2 linked regions of the Sus scrofa genome follow. The protein of the gene in region 1 interacts with the protein of each later gene in a biochemical or structural test. Links are inferred from orthologs where the notes say so. Each region holds a gene or a part of one and is shown on either strand. Other genes may lie near its edges.

Region 1 (4,030 bases):
CGACTAGATGGCCCAAAAGACTAGAAACATTTTGTAGGTGAAATGGCCACTTTTTCCACGCTGGAGAGTCCATAAAACTTCCTGGTGCAGCAGCTATTGGGGCTCATTGAATAATTCATCCCTCATTGCAAGCCCATAATGTCTATTCTCAGCCCTTTGTGGGGCTGTTTTCTCTTCTTTTCTCCTTGAATTATAAAAAGGTTGCCTTCCTTTGTTCACATCAAGCTGCTGCGAGCTGGAGCTTTGTCTGGGCCGAGCTAAAGTGTGAGTTTCAATGGACTCTCCAGGCTTTGTCTCCCAAGTTCATCTCCAAGTGTAGATTGTGTAGAGAAGGCCTTCTTTGTAAAAGCTGGAAAAGTTGTACAAATGTTTGACCAGCTCATTTGGGGCGTTTTGTCTCCTGGGCCTCGGTTGCCGGTAGCTGCGAGGGAGCTGCCGATCTGCCGCGCAGGCGCCTCCAGCAACAAGTAGCAAAGCCTTGCCACCCTCCATCCCCCTTCCTGAGCCTCCCCTACCCGCTGGGCTTATGGCCCCGCTGCCTGCTGGGGTCCGTTGGGTTTGGGGTGGGCTGGTTTCTCGCCCTCCTCCCTCCCCAGCATCTCCACGCTGCATCTAAATCTATGTCCCTTCGAGGTCGTGTACAGAGTTTGCATTGATTTGTAAAGCTGCTGCCCCGGAGGGACAGCGGTTCGCCCCGTGGTTGGGCAAATGATCGGCTTCCCTACCCACAATCCTGCCCCGGACGCCACTGGCTGGGGTCTGAGACCCAATTGGTCGAAGTGGGTGACCGCTTCAAGCTCACCTGGTGAACTCAAAAGTCAACTCAGTCTAACCAAGTCTCGGCCCCAGGCGAGGGAAGGCCACGCGTGGGCGGGGTGGGGGGCGCGACTCCAGACACTTTGCGTCTTTGAAGAGGTGCAATCTTCCCCAAGGCCGAAAGTGCTGAGACTCTCCTGAGGCTGTGAACGCTTTGGGGTTCAGTTCCCAAAGGGTCGACTTTTTTGTGGGAGGGGGTTACCTTTAGAATCTGGAGATAACCCGCAGCTGGTAAAAGGGAAGCAAGCTGCACTTATGGCTCCACGGGGGAGATTTTTCTCTTGAGGCTGGCAGTTCGCAGCCAACAAGAAGCCATTAGTCCGCTCCCCAGGGCGGAGAAAGGGTGCCAGCACCGCGTGCCCAAGAACCCGGATCTCTTCAGTTTGTAGCCCAGAGCTTAGGCTTGTTTTACTTTCCAGAGACACACAGCTCAAATCCTACCGCATTTGGAAACCAATTTAAAAGGGAAAAAAAAGCCAATCTACACATATATATCTATGACAGTCAGCGCCATACAACTTTGGCACCCTTCTGCCTAAAAGAGTTTTGAGTCTCTTCCTCTCCAGAACCCTGTCCCCCACCCTCTCTCCCTCGCTCCCCTCCCTACTCTGCTGTGGGAAAGACTCTGGAGATCCGGGCCTTTCCTAAGGGCGCAAAAGTCCCTTTAATCTCCGGAGGCTCACGGACTGCCCTTAGCCCCCCCCCCCATTCAGAGATGCCCAGTGCCTTATGCCTGAGGGCGAGAGAGTAGCCCCACACCTAGAGCACAATTCGCAGTTCCAGACTCCCAAGGACTGAGAGTGGTGCGGCAGGAAAATAGATAAAATAGAAGAGAAAAAAAAAAGACAAAAAACAGACCCTAAAAGATTTTTGTGTTCCCTGCAAGTGCGTCTCTGGTCCTTCCCTTGAATGCTCTTAGCCGGATGCAGTAGATATGAGCAAGGAGGCACCTTGACACGAGCCGGGGCTGCGCTGCCCTCAAGGCCCCCAACGTCAGAGCGCGGATGTTTGCCGAGGCGCAGGACGACAGGGCGCCGCCCAGCGCGCCGCCGCTTACCTCGCTCGCTTAGGATGCCGTCGATGCTGTGTTTCGTCTTCTTCTCGCTCTCCTCAGCCTCCTTTCTCTCCAGATCGGCCTCCTCCTCTTCGCCTTTCCCGAATTTACTCCTCAGGATGCGGCTGATGGAACTCACTGGGGGCGGGAGGAGGAAGGGAGCGCATAGGACTGAGACTTGTAGGGCCCTGCTGGAAGGGGCCCACCAGTCCCCAGTCGGGGTAGGAATGAGGGGCCTAGAAGGCCTGCCATGAACAGCTTGCTTTGGTCTCCTCCAGCATCTTTGGGCATCCTCACCTTTCTAGACTCTTCCCCTCCTGAAATCCCCCGTCGCCTTATCGGCTTCTAGGGAACAGGGAACCGGGAGCCTGGAAAGTTTGAGCCTTCAAGTTAGGGCCAGGGACCGCCGTCTCCGTCCTCTCTCCCCAGTAGGAAGCGTTTCCCTCCTTGATTCCAAAGACAGGTCTCTAGATCTCCAATCTAAGGAAATTCTCCCACTGGCCCATCCTGCACCCCCTCAGCCGGAAAGCATTGCGCCCCACAGTTCACATTAAGGGAGGCAGAACCAGAGAGGACCCGTTCCCTGCAATTCAACTTTTTTTGAGGCTATAAAGGGTTTAAATTTCAACTGCGGAATCGTTTCCTATTGTAAAAATCAAAAGAAAATGCACTCTCCCCATTTATTTTTTCCAGATTCCAGTCTGGTAAACAAATCCATGCTCTGAAATATCTCGTTCTCGCAGGGGGGGGGGTAAGGGAGTTTCCTTTTAATTAAAAACAAACCCGTGCGCCCTCGCGCTCGCCCTGCACTCGCCCCTCTTCTCTGTCCGCCTCCCCCTGGCCGCCGGGGGCGCCGGATGATCCCTGGGACTCTCCCAGAAAAAAAATCTTGGCGGTTGCCGAAGCCTTCCTTCCTATGAGCACCCAGCGAAGTCTCCTTTGGCGCGGCCCCATCTCCCTTCAGTTGGGGTTACCCAAACATTTGTTTCTTTTTAAAAGGGAACATCAATATTAATAAACGTTTGGCCTCTGCCTCGCGTTTCCTGCCCTGCCTGCACGACAGAAATTCTCTTTGGGGAGCCCTCAGCGGCAGTCTCTCAACCCCAGGACAAGCAGCTCATCATTCCTCCATAAAACACCAAAAATGTCTAGTTCGTAAATATTTCAGAGCCCTGGGAGGGGCTGCCCGCCTATCCCCAGATCGACCAGCGGGGTGATTATGGTTCGGCTGGGAACGGCGGCTGACGTCTTGTCTCAGGAAGACGTTTAATGGGCCTCGTACCTGAGGGTACGGTGTTTCGATCACAGACCGCGTCCTTGAGTAGTTTGTCTCGAATTTCCCAGCTGAACATGCCGGGGTTCTCTCTTTTATATTCCTCAATTTTCTTCTCCACGTCAGGCGTTGTCACCTGCTTTAAGAGAACAGGCAGGCAAGCGTTGGTACCCAGTCCTCTGGGCCAGATGTCGAAGCCTCACTGTCTGCGGGCCTGACGGGATGCTCCTTGCAACCCCTGGGAAGGTCCCCCTGGTTAGCAAAAAGGACCCTGACACCCCAAGGCAGTTTAAAAGGGGCAGAGAGAAAACCATCCCAGCCTGCAGCAGCCTGGGAACTCTTCTCCCCCAGTGAGCTCCCACAATTAGGATAATTTAAGAAAAGGTACAACACATTACAGGGGGTGTACCTTCTGATCCATGTGAATAAAGAAATGTAACTCTTTACACTGAGTCCACTGGAAAACGAAACTAAAAAAGGAACGCTTGAAAGAGGGGCAGAAGCATCCAGTGAAATCTGTAACTTGTGCCTTTCCAAAGGTGCACGAGATTTTAGCTAAAGTGAAGAGCAAAATGAAATGCAAAAGGTGAGTATCTAGGTTTTAAGTATTAGAATGGATAGCAAATATGGATCATTTGAGAGACTGGCTCTTTTTTCCCCCAATAAAAAACGTTTTCAGAGATTCAAAGAGGGTTGGCATGGGAGGAGAGGCTGTTGTTTGGAAGTTTTCAGTTTACCAGAACTCTCCTTTTAATTTTGCACTGTGGCAACTAGAAAATTACTTTAGATTTTCCCCACATCCAGAAGAAAAGGCAGACCTTATATAATCCCCTTCTACTTAGTCCTAACCAGTGTGACTCTCTTTCCCTTTTTTTTTTTTTAAGAAG
Region 2 (4,130 bases), on another chromosome or scaffold:
CACAGGGCATCCCCCCGCCCCTGCTGGAGAAAGCCGGGTCCCTGGGGCCCGGACTGGATGGAGGACATCAGAGTTCCCAGCATGGCGGGCAGTGTGTTCACAGCAGAGGCTACTCCCCCCGCCATCCAGAGCCCTGGGCATTTGACAGCACCCCCCTCCCCCCCGCAAGGCCCACCAGCCTCATCCAGCACCTCTCAGCAGAGAGCCCAGCACGGCGCTATGGAGACAGGAGGAGAGAGGAGGAGAGGGGGGGAGAAAGGGACGGGGGAGGGGAAGAGAGAGGCCCCTTCAGTGCAGCGTGGCTTTTCTGCAGACCCAGAGCGCCCACTGCCACCCCCACCCCCATCCTGGCACAGCTGGGCCCAGGAGGGTGAAGGGGGGAGGCGGGGAGTCGAAAGGGGAGCTGTGGGACCCCACACCTGGCTTCCTACCCTCCACGGCCACCCCTCCCTGCCTGGGGCGGGGGTGGGGGGGTCCACAGGCCGAATCACAGACACCACACCTCCTCAAGAGGAGGAACCCAGGGGTGGAAGGATGAGCGGGGACCCACCGGGATCGGGAGATGCCAGGCAGGCGGGCCGCGGGCGGGCAGCAGCGGGTGTTGGAGACTGCTGTGGGCAGCCGGACACGACCAGCTGGATGCTCGTCCCTCCGTCCCTCTGTCCATCCAGGGCGGCTCCTCTCTGGGCGGTTCTGAGGCCGGGCGGGCGCTGTTAAAAAGCTTTTTATGTGTGTGTGTGTTAATCACATGATTGCCGTTCACCTGTATTTCGAACAAAGACAGCTCACTGTTTCAAGGCCCCGAACAAGAGTCTGGGCACAGGGAAGAGAAGGGAGGCGGGGGGAGGAGGGTTGGCAGCGCCGGGGGTGGCGTCGAGGAAAACTGGGGGGAGATTGTCCAAGGCCGGCGAGCGAGAGAAAGAGAAAACCCTTATCAAACTCCTAATTCACTGGGCTCCGAGGCCCCAGACACACTGGCCCGATTGTCTGGCTGGTTGTGTGTGCGAGCATGTGTGTGTGTGTGTGTGTGTGTGTGTGTGTGTTCCAATGTCCGCTCCCCCCGCCCCCAACATGCCTTCGCCTCGTGTGACTACCTCATTGTGTCCCCCCCCCACCCCCTGGCCTTTCCCAAGCACGAGGCCTCGCCTAGACCCCCTCCAGCCCTACTCCACACAGGACTCCCTCCCGGTGGGCCTGGGGCCTTGCCCCGCTGCTGAGGAGCTCAGAAACCCCAGATCGCCACCTTGGCCCAGGCTCCATCTGTCCTCCGCGCACACCCTCGCCTCTGCCTCGACACCCACCTTTCAAGAAGAGATGGGGCGGTGATCTTTGCAGGAGGAGCCTGGGCAAGCCGAGGAAGATGGGAAGGACAGAAACATGGAGGGGTCACCCCACGAGGAAGGGAGCTGAGGGGACAAGTGAGCCGAGAGGAGGAGGAGGAAGGCAGGGCTCGTCCCTCGCCTGTGTCAGGGTGGGGGAATAGGGGATTGGCGACAAGGACTGGGACTCCCGCTACCCGACAGAGCCTGACCCCAGGGTGGAGGGAGTTGGGTCCCAAGAACCTTTCAGATCTACTTGAAGACAATCCCAGCCCAGCTCCGGCCCAGCCTCCTGTCTCTCCGCCTTGAGCCAGCGTAGCCCTTAGGGGCTGGGCCTCCGGTGACAGGGGCCAGGGGTGGAGCAGGGGGATCTGCCCTGGGCAGGGGGTGTCCAGCAGCGCCCTGCCCCACTGGGTATGGACCCGCAATCTTCCTCTCTTGCTGTTTAAGTTGAGGACGGGAGGGCAGCCTGGGCGGAGGTAGGAGGCAGGGTGAGACAGGCTGGCACTCAAGAAGAGGTCCTAAGTGAAGCCACCCAGGCCAGCGCCCTCGCATGTGACAGAGCCTTCACCTGCCTCCTCCTCATTCCTCCCCAGTCCTTTGCCAGCCGCCCATCCCACCACGCCGACGCAGAGGTTGGGGGTCCCAGTTGGGCCCAGTTTTCCTCCAAGCTACAGGTTCTGCCCCTGCCCACCTGCACCCATTGGCTTCCCTGGCCTGACCGCCCCCATTCCTACACCTCCCAAGATGGGCCTGGGGCAGCAGTGCAGGGGAGCCGGGGTGGGTGGGGTGGGGGTGGGGGGCCTGGCGGAGGAGCCCTGAGTGTTGGGGACGAAGGAAAGCGCTGGAGGCTCCACCTTCTGCCCTTCCCTCCCTCCCCTCCCCCTCCCCCTCTCCCCCTCCTTCCTTCCCCAGCCCTCGGCAGCAGCTCAGCGCTCAGTCAGTCTCAGGCTGTCCGGCCAGGGTGGTTGGTGGTGAGGATTCAGGCTCCGTCCTGACTGAGGCTCAGGGCCCCCAGCCCCTCCCTCCCAACCCACCAGCGTCCCGCCCCCCCCCCAGCCCCGAGCTGGACCGCACACCTTGGGACACGGTTTTCCACTTCCTAAGGACGAGCCCCAGACTGGAGGAGAGGTCCGAGGAGGTGAGTGAGTGCGCAGCCCGCTCCTCCGTTCCTCCCTTCCGGGGCCCAGGCCCGGGCCCCTTCGGCGGGGCGTGGGCTGGAGAGAGGCTGCCACCGGCATCTGTCCCCCATTCAGCCCCTCTCGATCCTTGGGGGCAGGCGGAAGGGAAGAAGGGAAGGCGAGAGAAAAGGTGGGAAATTCCAGGAGCCAGGATTAGAGCAGAATAAAGAGTCCGTTTTTCTTCCTTTCCATCAACAAACCTCCACCCAAGAGGAGGTTTTTAAAAAAAAAAAGAAAAGAAAAAAAAAAAAAAAGCCCAAACCCACCCACACCAAGAGACGGCTGGGACCAGGTGGTGGGAAGACGCAGAGGCGGGAGCCAGGGAGGCCGAGCCTGGGTCTGGCATGTGCGCGGGCCCCAGGGGTTTCGGTGGGTTAAGGGGAAGCCGGGCGGGAGCCACCTCGGGGCTCAGCCCGCGTCGCGTCGGGGCCGCCGTCGGGGCTTCGCGCACGCCGCTCCATCGCGCCCTCCTTCCCGTCCAGGTGGGCGTTGGACTCTTCGCGAGGACCCCGGCGGCGGGCCCCGGGGAGGTGGCCGAGGCGGCGGCGGCCGGGGGCGACATGGCGGAGGAGCAGGACCTGTCGGAGGTGGAGCTGAGCCCCGTGGGCTCCGAGGAGCCCCGCTGCCTGTCCCCGGGGAGCGCGCCCTCGCTGGGGCCCGACGGCGGCGGCGGCGGCGGCGGCGGCGGATCGGGCCTGCGAGCCAGCCCGGGGCCAGGCGAGCTGGGCAAGGTCAAGAAGGAGCAGCAGGACGGCGAGGCGGACGATGACAAGTTCCCCGTGTGCATCCGCGAGGCCGTCAGCCAGGTGCTCAGCGGCTACGACTGGACCCTGGTGCCCATGCCCGTGCGCGTCAACGGCGCCAGCAAGAGCAAACCGCACGTCAAGAGGCCCATGAACGCCTTCATGGTGTGGGCGCAGGCGGCGCGCAGGAAGCTGGCCGACCAGTACCCGCACCTGCACAACGCCGAGCTCAGCAAGACGCTGGGCAAGCTCTGGAGGTGAGCGCCCCGACCCGCCCGCCGGCGGGCAGCTCCCGCGGGCCCTCTCACTACGGGTGGCACTGCCGGGGGGTGGGGGGGCCCTCACCAGGGGCAGCCACCTCCCTGATGGGCCTGCTGCGGGCATGGGGCCCGCCCTTCCCCCACAGCACCCCCTGGGGGCTGCGCTCCTCGGAACTCTCCCCACGGCCTGGGCCTGTCTCCCCAGCCGGGGCAGAGGGCTGGAGGGCGCCCCCTCGTGGTTGGAATTCTGTCGGTGGCAGGGGCTCGGGCCTGGGCTTCGTGGGGCCAGTGAAGGCGGGAGGGAGCATGGGAAGGGTGGTGGGGGGCTCGGCACCGCAGGCCTTCACTAGCCCTTTCCACAGGCATGCCACTCAGGGGCTACTGCCACCCCTTCCAAGGGTCAAGGGCATGATGGGAAAATGCTTGGGAAAGAACTCTAGGCCTGGCTGGGGAGGCAGGGACACTGAGGCAGCCAGGTGGAGAACGGTGCCAGCCTTGGGGGGGATGGCAAACAAGGAATTTTGAAAGGGTGAGGGATGGAGAACTGCTGAGGCCAGACTGGCCACCGCAGGACCCCGTCCAGCTGCCTTCCCGGTGCCTTTCTGACCACGCTTCCTTCAGGCCCAG

The links.
Region 2: the proteins of PAX3 (region 1) and SOX10 form a complex in vitro, tested with the Homo sapiens proteins (2 studies listed by BioGRID and IntAct). The link is inferred for Sus scrofa from reciprocal best matches to the Homo sapiens genes PAX3 and SOX10.

Annotation. Positions count from the first base shown.
Region 1 is NC_010457.5:124,186,415-124,190,444, forward strand, and holds part of PAX3 (paired box protein Pax-3), read right to left. Parts: intron 3,283-4,030; coding exon 3,153-3,282; intron 2,009-3,152; coding exon 1,874-2,008; intron 1-1,873. UniProt on the Homo sapiens protein: Transcription factor that may regulate cell proliferation, migration and apoptosis. Involved in neural development and myogenesis. Transcriptional activator of MITF, acting synergistically with SOX10.
Region 2 is NC_010447.5:9,889,264-9,893,393, forward strand, and holds the start of SOX10 (transcription factor SOX-10), read left to right. Parts: upstream 1-1,175; 5' UTR 1,176-1,418; intron 1,419-2,378; 5' UTR 2,379-2,460; intron 2,461-2,982; 5' UTR 2,983-3,060; coding exon 3,061-3,500; intron 3,501-4,130. UniProt on the Homo sapiens protein: Transcription factor that plays a central role in developing and mature glia.